2 linked regions of the Alligator mississippiensis genome follow. The protein of the gene in region 1 interacts with the protein of each later gene in a pairwise test. Links are inferred from orthologs where the notes say so. Each region holds a gene or a part of one and is shown in the gene's direction. Other genes may lie near its edges.

The links. The genes of interacting proteins can lie anywhere in the genome.
Region 2: the proteins of TXLNA (region 1) and DEUP1 interact in binary tests that used the Homo sapiens proteins (3 or more experiments, as listed by UniProt). The two-hybrid records come from large-scale screens. The link is inferred for Alligator mississippiensis from reciprocal best matches to the Homo sapiens genes TXLNA and DEUP1.

Annotation. Positions count from the first base shown.
Region 1 is NC_081829.1:5,547,748-5,555,355, forward strand, and holds the start of TXLNA (alpha-taxilin), read left to right. Parts: upstream 1-4,604; 5' UTR 4,605-4,798; intron 4,799-5,074; 5' UTR 5,075-5,106; coding exon 5,107-5,299; intron 5,300-6,226; coding exon 6,227-6,562; intron 6,563-7,544; coding exon 7,545-7,608. UniProt on the Homo sapiens protein: May be involved in intracellular vesicle traffic and potentially in calcium-dependent exocytosis in neuroendocrine cells.
Region 2 is NC_081824.1:448,092,725-448,100,284, forward strand, and holds the start of DEUP1 (deuterosome assembly protein 1), read left to right. Parts: upstream 1-4,545; 5' UTR 4,546-4,596; coding exon of another isoform or gene 4,597-4,607; intron 4,608-7,560. UniProt on the Homo sapiens protein: Key structural component of the deuterosome, a structure that promotes de novo centriole amplification in multiciliated cells.

The DNA of each region.
Region 1 (7,608 bases):
TTCAACTAGCTCTGTTGCCTTGCTGCTGGGAGTAGCTTGCTTCTTCCTTGACAGCAGGCATCATTCCTGTTCAATGCAGTGCCTCGTTGGCTGATAACTCTTTAAGCTTTCTCTTAGCAACAGAGAGCCCAGGCCTCCTGTTGCAGCATTGTTTTTTCTGGAACTGATTTGGCAGCTTGTATGAAATGAGCCGATGGTTGGTTTAAAAAAAAAAAAAAAAAGGCACCAAGTAGCCCATCTCCCACTCTTCTTGCCTTCTCCCTGCAAGGCAGGATTAACCCTGATGAAAATTTGCTAGCGCCTGTCTTTTGCTGCTCCTTGACTAACTGGCAGGCTTGCTATTGTGTTCCAGCACCACTGTCTTTTCCTTTCTGGCATCCAGGCTTCCATCTCTGGTGGCCAATACAGATGTTATAAATGATGCATCTGTTGCCACCTGGCAATCTTTTCTTCTTCCAGCTAAACTTGGGAGAAGGGCATCACCTTTTTTGCTCTCTTGTGAATTGCAACTCTGGGTTTGGGGCTGGGGAACAGGCTTGGCTTTGAGAAAGCTGTTCCTTGCAGAGTGCAGGAGAACCTGACCTGCATAGCAACCTTTGTTGGTTCTTGGCATCACTTTAGGTGAGCCTTCCCCAGGCCCCAAGGTCCCTGTTTGGGGGTGTGCCATTTGATAGAGATATGTATATTTTTTTAACATTCACTTTTTTCCTGTGTTCAAACTACTTCAGTTTCATTTTCTTGGCTCACACAAGTGCCATGTGGATCTAGAAGAGGTGTTGAGGCTCAGCCATACATCTTATGGATCTGCTTTGAACAATCACTTTTATCAGTATTTCACTGCCATGCAATGGTGGCACTAGACTATGCTAACACATTCAGTTGACCTCAATGCTACTTGGGTGCTGTCAGCAACCTGAGCATCTTAAATCCTCTATTTCTACTGGCTTTTTTTATTTCAAATGTATATCCTCTGGGGCTGCTAGCCTGTAGTTGCTTGCTGGCACTTTCCAGGCTGTCTTGCCCCTACATAGACCATGATGCTCAATTCTGTAACTCTTTCAGGTAAATACATATGGTACCCAGTGGATGCTTGATATCAAGTCTGGCTTCATCATTCAGCTAGCAGAGGGACTTTTGACCACTGGGGCTGGTGAGGTTGTCTTTTTTTTCCTCCTGTTACCTAGAGGAAAAAGCTCTGTAACCCAGAGAGAAGGCTGTACGGGCATAGAAGATACTGGGGGTTGCTTGAGGATCCTTCCTCAAACTGATGCATTGTTTTTCCAACTAAGTGCTTTTGTTGTTGGCGCTCTAGTATTTAATACTTGACCATGGCAGAAAACAGACAATTGCACCTCCTTGAAGCGTTTGATTAAAGCTTAATCTGTACAAACGATGCTGGGTCCCTTGCCTTGGTTTCCTGCCATGATCTCTTCTGCACGTGTCATAACTTGAAGGACTCTTGAGTTTTAGTTCTCAAATCCTGCCTCAGCCTCTCCTCTTCAACAGTTCCTCAGACAGCACAGCCTTTTTTCCCAGCAGTTGTTGGCTTTGCCTGACATTCTGGCAGTCCAGTCTGCATTCGTGAATGTTCGGGCCTTCTTTACAAGGGGTGGCAATGACCACTACAGCCACTGTGTTTTGAACTGAGTCCCAAAATGTGATGGGATTATAACACTATAGCTGTCAAACTTTGAAAGATATAGTGAGGCAAAGGTCTAGGCATAAGGACTAATCTGAATTTTGCCATTTGTCCTAGATTTAGACCAGTCTGGCTTTAATTTGATCCCATATTAACCTACGTTAGGGAAAGCCATGCTAGTATGGTGCACTTATCAACAAAATACTTCTCTTGATTGGTCTTCAAAGGAATTTGAGTTGGGAAATTGGAAGACTCAGTGCTGCTTGGTAGGAACCATTCTGCCCTTTGACTAATGCAGCAAGTGAAGGTTTTTCCTCCCTGAAGTTTTGTCAGCTTGTCTTGGGATGTACGTGCTGCAATCTTTCTGTCTGTTTGCTATTCTAGAAGCACAGCAGCCCGTGTGCAGTAATGCAAAGCAGTCCTAGCACTGAGCTTGCACTCTTGATGGCAGTCTCCTTCTGAAAATGTAATTGCATCTGGCTGTCATCTAAGTGATGAGTGGGGTGGCTGGGGTTAGAGGCTGCTGATTCATACGAGAGCAGTCCCTTTGGACTGACTCATGAAGAGCCATTTAAGTGCACAACATCCCAGACTACTTGCGTCTCCAACTGTGCATGTTGGAAACCACTAGAATTTAGCCTAGAGCTCTGAATAGCTTTCATCTTCTGGCCCTTTGTAAAGCTGAGTCATAATTAGTATCAAAGACTAGGTTTGGGTCTAAGATTTCTTTCTTTAGCACATGGAGTGGGGTGTTTCATTCCCTAGGTTTAGCACAGGGTTTCAGCTTGGATCCAGGAGGGTTCACATCACACCCCCCCTCTCCCCAATCCATTAAGATTTGACCCTTGTTCTTGTCCCATACAATACAGATCACTGTATTCAGAATATGCAGTTGCTGTTGGCAAAAGAGCTGGTGCAGTAACTTCAAGAGACCCTTCCCTGTGAAGCGGGCTGAGCCCTTTGTTGAAGGACAACCTGTAAGCGATAGTAGAACTTAGATGTGCAGTAATATTTGGGTTCTTGCTTTCCTCATTGTCTATGCAATTGGTGTGGGAATAAATGAAGGGTAACTCATCAACAGCATAGGGCCTTTCATCAACAGTCTGTTTTCCAGACCAATCTGGTGAAATATTTTTCTTTTTTCTTTTCTTTTCTTTTTTTTTTTTTTTTAAATAAGAATGGGACTTTTGCAAACAGTGCTGTGGCCGTTGGCAAACTGTGAATTGGGATTTTCTTTTGGGGGGGAGGGGGAGGGGTGGAAACCAGATCAGACCAGTAGCTACTGTAACACTGGCTAGAAAAAGATTCACTGAAGTGTGAATGGCGCTTTGGAAACCTTTTGTCTCCTGGATCCTTCACAGAAAAGAAGCTGGAGACTTGTCCTTTTTTTGTGTTTTTTTTTTTTTTTTTTTTTTTTTTTAAGAAGCAACCAGTTACAAACCCCATGAATGGTACTTATGTACTTATATTCTGTTACGTAAGTGCATGTCAGAGCATTAAACCACACATGGCCACACCCTGGAGTGGAGCTGGTGAGAGATTCTTTTTTTAAGTTTATTTTTCATTTACTAACCAGCTCATGTATGGGTTGCATTATAGAGCTGCGAGCACGTGTGGCAAAAGCAAGGGCAGTGGTAAGTTGTGGTTGCGGTACAGCGTTCAGACACCTGAATGCAGGACTTCCTGTAGCCACTGCAGTATCTTAAGGCTTTTTTTTTTTTTCTTCTTCTCCGAGTAAGGATTTTTTTTTATTTATTTATTTTTTTTAAATGAAGCCAAATACTATGGTTCTCTTCAGTGAGTCCCCCTTTAAAGCTACGGCATAGCTGTACCATGGTGGATTGAGAGGATGCCCACCCGACTCTAGAACAGACTAGCCGGCTTGATATGGAGTTGAAAGTGTGTTTCTCTTAGGTTTCCAACACTGTAACAGATGCAACATAAATAAAGAACCTGTTCCACAATCCCGGATACTGGGCGACTCTGGATTCTTTTATGAAACTTTGGGCATCGCCCCTGTGCCAGCGGGGGCCCGGGCTAAAGCCTGTCTATGTACACGGGGAACTTACCTGGGAATGGATTGGCAGAGGTGTGTGTGATTAATGTCCAAACAGAAGGGGTGAAACAGGCCTCGGCCTCTGCTTTCTTTAAACCTAAGCAGTAGCTGTACATGCCGGTCCTTCGTGCCAATAAACCGCAGTGTCCAGCTAGTGGGCTGCTCCCGCCGTCTCCGGCCCCACGGGGAAGGGATAAGTCCAATAACGCCGCCATCTTCAGACCCTCCCTTCCTTCCCCCAGCCCAGCCAAGCTTCGACCCTATCCCGCCTCGCTGTAGCTATGCAGAGGGAACGCTGCATACGTTTTATTTAATTTATTGGATTTAATGGGAGCGGCTCCACAGCTTTCCTGCGCGGGCCCTGGGGCAGGTGTTCATGTGAGAGCAGGATCCTGTAGAAGCCAGCTCCCACCTGGGTCCACGTTAAGCACTGATGATGTGGCAGGTGGGCTCTGCAGAGCTGCTCGGTTGTTTTTGGTACTGTGAGCTGAGTGCACCCGTGCCTGGACTCCAGGCTTTGTGTGATGTATGTAACGTGTGCCAGGCTGGTGCCATGCAGGCCTAGAGCTTGTTCAACAGGCTCTGCCTGCCTCCAGCTGTTGCCCCTGGTTCCCTGCCACGGGCCACGTCCTCCTGCTTAGCTGAGAACAGGGAGCTGCCCCTGCCCCAGAAGCTGCAGTGTGGGCCCCGGGGCCTGCTGGGAGCTGTAGTGCCGCCCTGTTTCCGGGGCACGCCGGGAGCTGTAGTGTTGCCGTGCCGCGGAGAACGCCGGGAGCTGTAGTGCGGCGCTGCCGCGGGGCCCGCCGGGAGTTGTAGTCGCGTCCTCCCGCCTCAACTGCCGCCTCCAACCGGCGTTTCCCGGCAGGCGCCGCGCGGCTTCGCGCGCGGATTGGCTGGCGGCGGGGCCGGCGCATGCGCACTCCACACACGCTCCGCGGCCCGGGCCGGAGCCGCTTCTCCGTCAGCTACGAACCGCGCCTAGGAAGCGGGGCCGCCGGGCGGGGGACGAGCTGTGGCGGCCTAGGAAGGGAGCGGGGCCCCTCGCTCGCTGGTTGACCGAACCCGGAGAGCCACGTCACACCTCGGGCCGGTGACGTCACGGGGTGCGTGTGTGATGTCACCGCGGCGCGGGGCCCGCAGCCCTGCGCGGGGGGTTGGGGATTGCAGCCGTTGGTGGGGGAGGGGAGGGGAAGGGGGGGTGCAGCTGGTGGGGGAGGGCCCCGGTGGCACCCCTCCCCCCCCGGGGCCCTGCGACGCGGGCACTCGGCCACGCTGGGGGGGGGGCCGGGGTGTCCCTGCGGCCGCCCCGGGCCCGGGCAGGCTGGGCACGGCCGCCCGAGTCCCGGGCGCGAAGGCAGCGGGTGCTCCTCTCTCCACAGGGCGCGTCGACACGGCGGGGAGAAGAGCCGCGATGAAGAACCAGGGCGGGGAGACCAAAGCCGTGGCGGCCCCGGCGAGCCCCTCCAAAGCCGGCGGTAGCGGCCTGGCGCCCGCCGAGGACGACTCGCCGGAGGCTGCTCCGCCCGCCGACGCCGGGGACTCGGCAGGCCAGCCCGACGGCAGTGCCGAGAGCCCGGCCAGCGAGACGCGGGAGAAGATGGAGGGTGCGTTTCTGCTCGGGCGGGCGGGCGGGCGGGCATCGTAGCTAACTCCTGTTTCCCCGTGTCAGGGAGGGATTAGGGTCAGGTTTGTGCATCCTAGGACATCCCGGACTACTGGCTGCATGCCTGGGATACGGGGGGAGACGGAGTCTCGTCCGGCTGTTGAGTGATTTTACTGTTATTGAGTTACTTATTACTCAAAGCCCTGGGACCTTCTGCACAAAGCTCCCCGTCTGCTCCTCTGTCCAGTCGTGTGAGCTGCCCCCGCCCTGAGCCAGGGCATCTGCCCCTCTCTCGGCGCGGTAAAGGTTACCCCTCCGCCCGGGGAAGCCCTGTCGAGTCAGCTCAGTGCTCGGTTGAATCGAGGCCTGCCTCCTGCTCCGATGGCTAGCAAACGCGGGATCTGATGAGTCACGTTAACTTAATAGCTGAAGATCCATTTGCCAACGGCTGCCAGTCCTCAGGAGATCTGGTCTGAGCTGTGTTGATGTCCGCTGTCAAGGCAGCACGTAGCGGCTGTCTCTGACCTACGTCCGATCCCAGATCATTAGTATTATTAAAATGTCAGGCCGGGGGGCGTACATTACCAGGCTGTGCCTGCGAAGGAAAACCGCTGCTGCGCTTGTTTCCATCAAGCAAGTGGAAGTTTTGCCACCGACAGATTTTGGCAGCCTGGTCATGCCACCAAGATGAAAAGAGGGTGGTGCATCTCTGCGGTCAGGGCAGCTGCACAGTGATACAGATGTTCCCCGACGTCGGAACAAAGCGGCTGATGCAGCTGGAAGTGGAGCTGGCGCTGGGAAGGGCTGTTACGTGCTTAGGAAGCTCTTCCCCTTCTCTGCTTGTAGGGGGTTGGCAGAGGCATGCTTAGAGGATGGGGATTGTGAGGGTAGGTGTCACATGCTCGTTCTCTTCTCCCATCTCCCGCAGCTTCTGGACAGGAGGAAGCAAAGGGCTCCCAGCCTGCCATCTGTGATGTCTCTGAGGAGTTGAGCAGGCAACTGGAGGACATCCTCAACACGTACTGCGTGGATGCCAGCCAGGAGGGCCCCGGGGATGACGGGGGGCAGAACGAGCCTGCAGAGCCTGATGAGGCAGAGAAGTGCCGGAGCGAATCTCCACGCAACGGGGAGCAGGAGCCAGGCTGCCCAGAAATTAACGGGGAGAAGGAGGGCTCGAAGGGGCCCGAGGAGTTCCGGACCGGTGACGAGTGTGGGGAGCGGGACCAGAAACGGACCCAGGAGAAGAAGAAAGCCAAGGGGCTTGGTAGGGGCTCTGACCTCAGGGTCAGCCAGCCTGGGGGACGGGGCATTTCACCTCTGCTGGTTTAGCAGCTAAATCCAGGGGGACAGGGCTCCTACCCAGTCCCTGCATGATAGCATCCATGTCTGTGTACACATCCCCTATGGTGAAGCCACAGACCAGTGCTAAAAATTCTGTGTTCCCTTAGTACCAGGGTGGATGTGTACAGCAGCGTGCACACACAGAGTGAAGCTTGTCCCCCTGCTTTCTGTAGGTGCCTGCTCTATGCAATAAAAGGGTGCAGGTCAGATCCTGCCAAATAAAGACTGCCAATACTTCTTGCGCTTGATTATGCAAGTACAGTAAATTGCATTATGTATGTGTTGGCAATGAAGGATATTTCTGGACATCCGCCCAGACAGGGTTAGCATGTAGAGCGAGTGTTCAGTTGCCTGTCTAATTTGCACCTACGTGGCATGACTCTAACATGGAGTTGTACGTGAAATTGCCTGCTAAGCCTCTTTTCCCTGCCATGGTTGGGGAGGGGGTGGTTAGAGAGTAGGCATGGATGTGGGAGTCCAGGACGTCTGGAGTTCTTTGCCCAGCTGCCCATGTAACCTGGTGCAGGTAGCACACAGACCACTTGCCCTGCCTTCTCACTGGGTCTCTGCTGATCTCCCTCACTGTTATATGAGCACCTCAGCTCTAACATAATTATCCTCACTAATCCTGTATGGATGGAGAGTGAAGGCACAAAGACTTAGTGGCTTGCCGTGGGTTACCCAGGAAGTTGGTGGTGTCTCAGGGAGTTTAACCCAGGTTTATTGAGTCCATTGTCCAAGAAGACCACTTCAGCCACCGTCTTAGTCACCCAAGGCACAAATGTCTTCGGGAAACTTTTACTAGCTGCTTGCCTCAGGGCAGGGGTTCTGCTCAGGCTCCGCCTCTATGCCTTGGGACTGGGAGCTCTGTCTGAAATGGATTTTTGCTTTGTCCTGTGTTCCAGGCAAGGAGATCACACTGCTGATGCAGACACTGAACACACTGAGCACCCCGGAGGAGAAGCTGGC
Region 2 (7,560 bases), on another chromosome or scaffold:
GGCTACTGATATTTCTAGACCCTAAACACTAAGAAGAGAAAGGAATTTATTAGAGATGAACCAGGGAGTTCTCCTAAGACTAACAAGATGGAACTGAGATAAGGAAAGTGCTGCAGGAAAAACACAAAAATATCTTTTTTTAAGTGAGATCCATTTGTCAAAAAATCTCTCAAGGACAGCCCCACTATTTTGGTCATTAAAATTGAGACTGGACACAAAAATCATTACAAGCATATAATGGCCCTGGGGTATGAATCAAATGTTTTTTTGTAATGCTATGACCGTGTGAGGAAAAACTATTTTTCAGTCCATATATTTTTCCATTGTGTTCCCAGTTCAAATTACTGGGGATAGGGGAACCTGAAAATATTGCCTTAATATATCCGCAGCTCTAGGTATTTTCTGGTAAAAGTGAAACTCTAACATCATCTTACATTTATGCAGCAGCTTTCATACCAAAGTATCCCCAAACATTTTATAAACAGTATAGAGCAAAATCAATTCACTCAGCCACTGAAATGTAGATACCTCTGAGGCAAAGCTCAGGTGATTATGTAGTTTTTAATGTCTATCATTTAAATATGTTTAAAATTCTTATTCAAAAACACACCTAAAGGGAAAAGTAAATGGAACTTCTTTAGGGATAGGATTAGGGATGCAGAATTGTGGAAAACAACTTCAAACACGTCTGCAACACCACATACCGCATGTTCAGCTGTTCTCTGCATTGCAAGGGAGCAGGTGGGGATGGGGGTGACCCCTTGATATCCAGGGGTCAAAAAAATCCTACGCCATAGAAAAGCAGAATGGTGCATGCAGGGGCAGTGCACACCACTGAAAACCAGAGCCTGGCTGGCCGAAGCCACACTCTAGCTACTGGCCAGGCTCTGAGCAGCAGGATCATCACTACTGCAGCCCCAGGAGCCCCCAGAATCCCAGGTAAGGCTGTTGGGGCAGCCCAGTGCTGGCCCCAGTCTCCCCTATCCCACCCAGGGCAACCTGCCATGCACCAGAGGGCATGTGGCACAGGCATTCCCTGTGGACAACTAGCAGTGGCACAAGGTACACTGCTGCTAATTGTCCCCAGGGAACCAAACATCCACATTCGTGTGAACACGGCCTATTTGCTTAAAATTAAAATATAAGATTTAGTCCTAGGAATGGGCAAACAGTTGGAATAGTGTAACATGGATTAGTGATGAGTGTGCTATATTCATGGTGGCAAAACAGCCGTAAAAATAATAGTAGTATTGATAATAGAAAGTAATAAAGTAATAGAATGACAAGAGAACCGACCTCATAAGAATATAAGAGCATAAGAAGTGCCATACTAAATTAGACCAACAGTTCATCTAGCCCAGTGGTTCTCAACCTGCTTAGGCTCAAGGCACCCCTAAATATACTTAAGGCATCCCTCATTAGGCTCAAGGCACTATTCAGAAATGTCAACTCTTAGTTGTCATTCATGTTTGACTGCAGAAAAATAACAGCATGATTCTTTTGTTGCAAAGAATGCAGAAGGACTACAACCGTTTTTAACACTATGTATTCCTATTTGAAATCTCTATGGGGGTATCTACACATGTACTTGACTGTGAAGTTCACTAATTAGCTCTGCAGTGAAGCATCACCGTCTACACATTCAATGCTATTAGGCCACAGTAAATTAATTACCTCTGCTGTCGGATAGTACTGCCTGGCATAAGTACTACCTTATGGCGGAGTTATTTAGTGCACTGAAAAGCACATGTAGATGCTTTGTTGTTTTCTGATTTCTCTAAATGTACCAATACCCTCCCACTCTGTCCCAGGTTAGGGTTAGAGTACTTTGAGTATAAACCAGGATGACCCAGGAGGTACAGATGAATTCAAGCACTTGCAATTATTCCTTTTGAGATTCTGTGACCAGTTGGTTACAATGATCAGACTAGTTTGATTTCCCAAAACAAGTACCACCTCTCCTGAGAGAGCACTCCTTTTTAAACCAGCCAGGGCTTTTTTGATCTCCTGTAATCTTGGGCCTTTTTCTGTCCTGGTATTACCTCTTAAAATCTTTAGCAGTCTGCTAAGTGCAGGAAAAGCCTGACTGGGCAGCCGGGGCAACTCAAGGAACCTAAGGGCTCAAGCCAAGGGTAGGGGAAAGCTGAGGAGGAGTTTTACTCAAGCACTACCCATTCCACCCCCTTCCCTGCCAGCAGCGCACAACTGGCCACTGGTTGAGTGGCTGAGTGCAGTGGTGTGCACGTGCCCAGGTGCCCAGCTGTCATACTAGCCAGAGGTGCCAGCCACCCAATAAGCCAGTTGGGACAGCAAGTGAGGCCAGCATGAATCCCCCAAGCTAGCATAACAGCTTGGGGATACTAGGGAGGTAGCAGCTGGGCAGCGGGCACGCAAGCAAGTAGCAGGACCTCATTATTTAATTAACCTCCCTTATTCTCATCTGGTGCCTATGAGAAAACCCTGACTGTAGGCAGCTGCTGGGGCTCAGGGAACCAGAGGGCTCAAGCGAAGTGGGGAAGAAGCCAGTGGGGGCATCACTTAGGCAGCACCAATTCCCTTTCTTCCCCACCAGCAGTGCACACCTGGTCACTGGCTGAGAATGCTTGTCCACCTGCCTAGCTCCCATGCTGTCCAGAGGAGCCAGCCAGCTGCTGGGGCTGGGGACAGTGGGACAGTGAGCGAGGCCAGCATGAATCCCACCTCCACGCCAGCAGGACAGCCAAGGGAGTTTGCAGCAAAAAGACAAGAAGCCATTGTTTAATTAATAGTGTTCCGCATTCTCAGTTTTTACCAATTTTTCACTAATAAATTTCCTGATTTTTTTAAAGCCATTTGGTTGTTACTAATTGCACCCGTTTTTCAGTTCAAATGGCCCATTCCCCACTTGTGCCAGTTAACAGGGATTTGAACTGAAAAATGGGTGGTGCTGGTGAACTAAAAGTGCCGCTGTGCCAGTTACCCGAGACACAGGTTTCTGGCTGGACGTAGGGGTGGGGTGACAGTGGCTGCACGGGAGTTGGGGGAGGGTGGCTGGAGCCGCTGCCTAACAAGAAATCTGACCAACCATTGTGTTTAATTTTCAGGTTTTGTTTTTTTTTTATATTATTTTTTCATGAAAAACATGGTTAGAGAGAAGGTTAGTGAACTTAGGACTACCTGCAAGAGAAGGTTGAGAGGCGACCTTGTGGCTGCCTATAAATTCATCACGGGGGCACAGAAGGGAATTGGTGAGGTTTTATTCACCAAGGCGCCCCCGGGGGTTACAAGAAATAATGGCCACAAGCTAGCAGAGAGCAGATTTAGACTGGACATTAGGAAGAACTTCTTCACAGTTCGAGTGGCCAGGGTCTGGAACGGGCTCCCAAGGGAGGTGGTGATCTCCCCTACCCTGGGGGTCTTCAAGAGCAGGTTGGATATGCATCTAGCTGGGGTCATCTAGACCCAGCACTCTTTCCTGCCTGTGCAGGGGGTCAGACTCGATGATCTATTGAGGTCCCTTCTGACCCTAACATCTATGAATCTATACCTGCCTATGCACAATCAGTAGAAATCAAGAAAATCCCTTACAATGGACAGAAAATGTAAGATATTCAGATATTCAAGTGCAAATAAACCTGTTTTAAGAATGAAAATACATGGAATTCAGAAAGTGCTTTTCCTTCACATAAAAGCCATACTATATTAAATCAAAGCCCATGAAAATAAGTACCATCTAAGTACCGTAAGTTATTTGCATAGCAATGTGAAAACCGTTTCAGGTTATTTTGCACCAGCGCAGTTACTTGTTTAGAAGAAAAATGGTAATTACATTGTAGCCTGCCTTCTGCCTATTGTATTATCTACCGATAACAGCGCTTCCACATACAGCTTTGCGTCTCCGCTTCCCCTCATCGTGCTCATCAAACCAAAAGGAAACGTTTTTCCCTGGGTGAATTACACCGGGCTCAACGAGACAAAATTCACCTCAGGCTGGGCCCGGCTAGCACGGCTCATCCTAGCTGTGGGCCAGAGTCATGGCTGTAACCTCCCGCCGCACGGAAACGGTACCGCTCCTACACGCTGGCTCTGTCTGCGCAGATTTCAAGCCGCACCAAGGTATCACAACGGTACAAATTAAGCCTCCTTTATTGGGACGCAAAGTTTTGACTGTGTTTTCACGGTGTTGCCCTGGTCTCACACAGTCTTTTCCATGTCCCCTTGCACCCGGGCGTGCCGCTTCCCCGGAGGGCCAGCTCTTCACACCACCCAGGGCCCACTTCAGCCTCCACCATGCAACCCAGCCAGAGCCCGAGCTGGCATATTTGCAAGACAACACACTTGCCCCTTTACTGCCCAGTCTCCAGCCAAGCCTACTCTCCTCACCCCGCCTCCAGACAGAGAGCCCCAGACCTGGTGCACTCACAGCCTATAACCCCTCACCCCAACGCTGCCACGACCCCCTCTCCATGTCCTCCTCGCTGCCCCTCCCGCGCCCCGCCCCCAGCGCCGAGGCCCCGCCCCCGTCCCGCCGACGCTCCCGCGGCGTGTTCGCGTTGCCCCGGTAACGGCGGCGGGAGCCGGGGCCGGGAGCGCGGCGGGAAGCGCCCGGCGCGGAGGATGGAGGCCCGGTGAGCAGCTGTGGCGCGGGCCGGCTCCTGACAGGGCCCCGCAGCGCCCGGTGACCGCACGGAGCCGTGAGCCCCCTGGCAAGTTGCCCCGGGTGGGGTAGGGCAGGCTGGGCCAGCCCCAGCAGCCTTCCCTGGGTCCTGGGGGCCTCCCGGGGCGCTGGCTGGCCAGGCTCTGGTTTTGCCTGCGCTGTTGCACTTCTTTGTGGCATGTTTGTTTGTTTTTTTTAAGAGACTGGGATTTCCCAGTATCAGATATTGGTTCCTTGTCACCTGCGCCGCCTCGCCTGCCTTTTGCGGCACGTGCCCGCTGGTCCCCAGAAGAAGGACACAGGGGGCAGGTTTGTAACAGGGCAGGGAGCAGAGCTCTGCTCCTAGTCGGGTTATTTCTGTTTCACAGCCCTGTGCGCTGTTAGTTTTGGGGGTTTTTTTTAACTTTAGCTAAAAACATTAACTCAGGTGTGGAAATGTTAACTCGGGTGCGCGTTAGGTCAGGTGCAGAAGTCGCTGTCCGCGGAGCATCGGCGGCGCTCTGCGGGTGTTCCAGAAGGCATGATTTTGTTCTCTGAATCTGAAAAAGACACACGCATTTAACATGAGTGACTCCAGGATTAATGAAGCAGCATTTTTGGATTATTTTTTTCCTTGTTTGTTGTGTGTTTATATATGATATTGCCACATGCCAACAAATGCCATTATATATGATATGCCACATGCCATTATATATGATATAATCCACATGCCATCAAAGTTTTTTGTTTGTTTTTTGCTTCAGTTTCAAAGTGAATAACTAGCTGTAGTCCCCGCCTTATTAATGAAGCATCTTGCTTATCTTTATCTGTAGAGAAACATGTGTTCTGTTTTATATGATGCACCACAGCATCTGCACCCCTCTCCCCCTTTTTCAAAATCCTAGATCTGCCCCTGTAAGTGATAATTACTTTGCATGTGTGGCCAGTCTAAATTTATTGCGGAATTAACCAGTTAACTATATAATATATGTAGCATGTAGCAGGAGCCGGAGTGTGGCACGCAAGTCTACCTGCAATGTGTCGTAACGGTTGTTGTAGAGAGGAAGCAGTGGCTTGGTGTGTCTACACATGCATTTTAATGCGTATTAGCCTATTTTGATGCATATTTAAGTGTCACAAGAAGTGTGCTGTTGCTAATGCACATTAAGATAAGCTAATGCACCTTTTTCTAGTACTTCACAATGAAGATACTAAACTTAATGCGGATTAGCAAAAGTGCATTAATGAACATGTAGACATGCCCACTGTGAACCAGCTTAATAAAAGATTCATCTAATAAACTAGGGACTGTTCTCATAATTTTTTATTTATATATTTATTTATTATTTTTATTTTATGCATTTATTATTTACTTGTTTATAATATTTTTGGTATTTTCATTTCTTCATGTATTTAGTAAAAATAAGCATTTTTATTTACTTCCCTAATAAAAAAGGGAAAGTGGTGAGGGCTTTTGCTTATAACTTTTTTTTAATGTTTTTTTTTAAAAAGTTGTTGCTAAGCAACAAAAACATATGTTTAAATATCGAGTTATTTCCAAAACCTGTGCTCCTAAAAGCAAGGAAATTAATTGTTAAGGGTATAATCAGACATTGCTCACATAATTAACTCCTTGTTCATCCTGGGTGCTTTTATACATGTGCTTTACTGTGGAGTTGACTAATTAACTCTTCAGTAAAGTGTCCTGGTCCACATGTGCTCCTATATTTAGGGATCAGTAAATTAATTAGCTGCAGTAAGATAGTACTGTCTAGGGCAAGTACTACAGCGGAGTAATTTATGGTGTCTCAACACACATGTTGACAGTGACTGAGGCTGACTGGGGCATGAGAGTGCTAGTGTGAGGGCTGCACTAGTCCTACACTGTAGCACCCTTGTGCCCTAGTCAGCCCCTCCACTGCCCAACGCCAGTCTGGGGCTGCTGTACCTTGGCTCTAACTGCTGCAGTTCTGGGTGCACGTGTTTGCACTGTGCTTGGGAGCTGCTGACTGGTGTGAATTGTACCAGAATGTATTGCTCCATGTTAATTGCATGTGTGGATGCACCCACTGGGCATATCTACATGAGACATTTACTGCACAGTAGACTAATTAGCTGCATAGTAAATATCATGCTTCTACACATGCACTCCCATTAGGCTGGAGTAACTTAATTAACTCTGCAGCAGACTAGTACTTGTAAATACAAGTACTATCCTGCCATGGAGTTTTTTTACATGTAGACACTGCCCCGGTTGGCTGAGGCAAGAGGGCACTTCAGTGCAGGGGCTGCCCACTTGCTAGCATGATGTTGAAGCACCCTCTTTCCCCAGCTAGCCCCTCCACAGGACATTAAGCAAGGGGGAGCAGCCCTGAGCTGGCAGGCTGATCCCCCAAGCCCACTGCCAGCCAGGGCTGCTCTGACCTGGCTCAATGTGCTGCGGTTCCAAGTGCACATTTCAACAGTGCACCCAGAAGCAATAAAACTCCAGAGCAGTAAGCTCCGGAGTTTATGTATATACGTTAATTGCATGCATAGATGTGCCCGCTGAGTAGTAAAAATGCGCTTTTCCTCACAACTGAGCAGTCTTTTCTTTGATACAAAATAAATACCATTCTTCCACCAGAAGTCTCAAAATATTAATACAACAAAAAATATTTCTAAAAAAAAGAAATGGAAACATAGGTGAGATTATGAATTCAGTACAAGGGATAAACAATACCATACAAATCAATTACTTCTTAAAAGTGGTGGGATCTGGCCCTATATAGTGATCAAGTTCAAATACACTACCTAATATGTTTATAACTATATTGCAGTCTATCCTGTTCACTGGTACAAAGGAACACAAAGGGACATAAAGCATCTCTTTAGTCCCTTCCACCAGTGTCCCATAGTGTTTCTTCCTGCTTGCGGCGCAAAGCAGGGCCATCGCCCTTATCCTT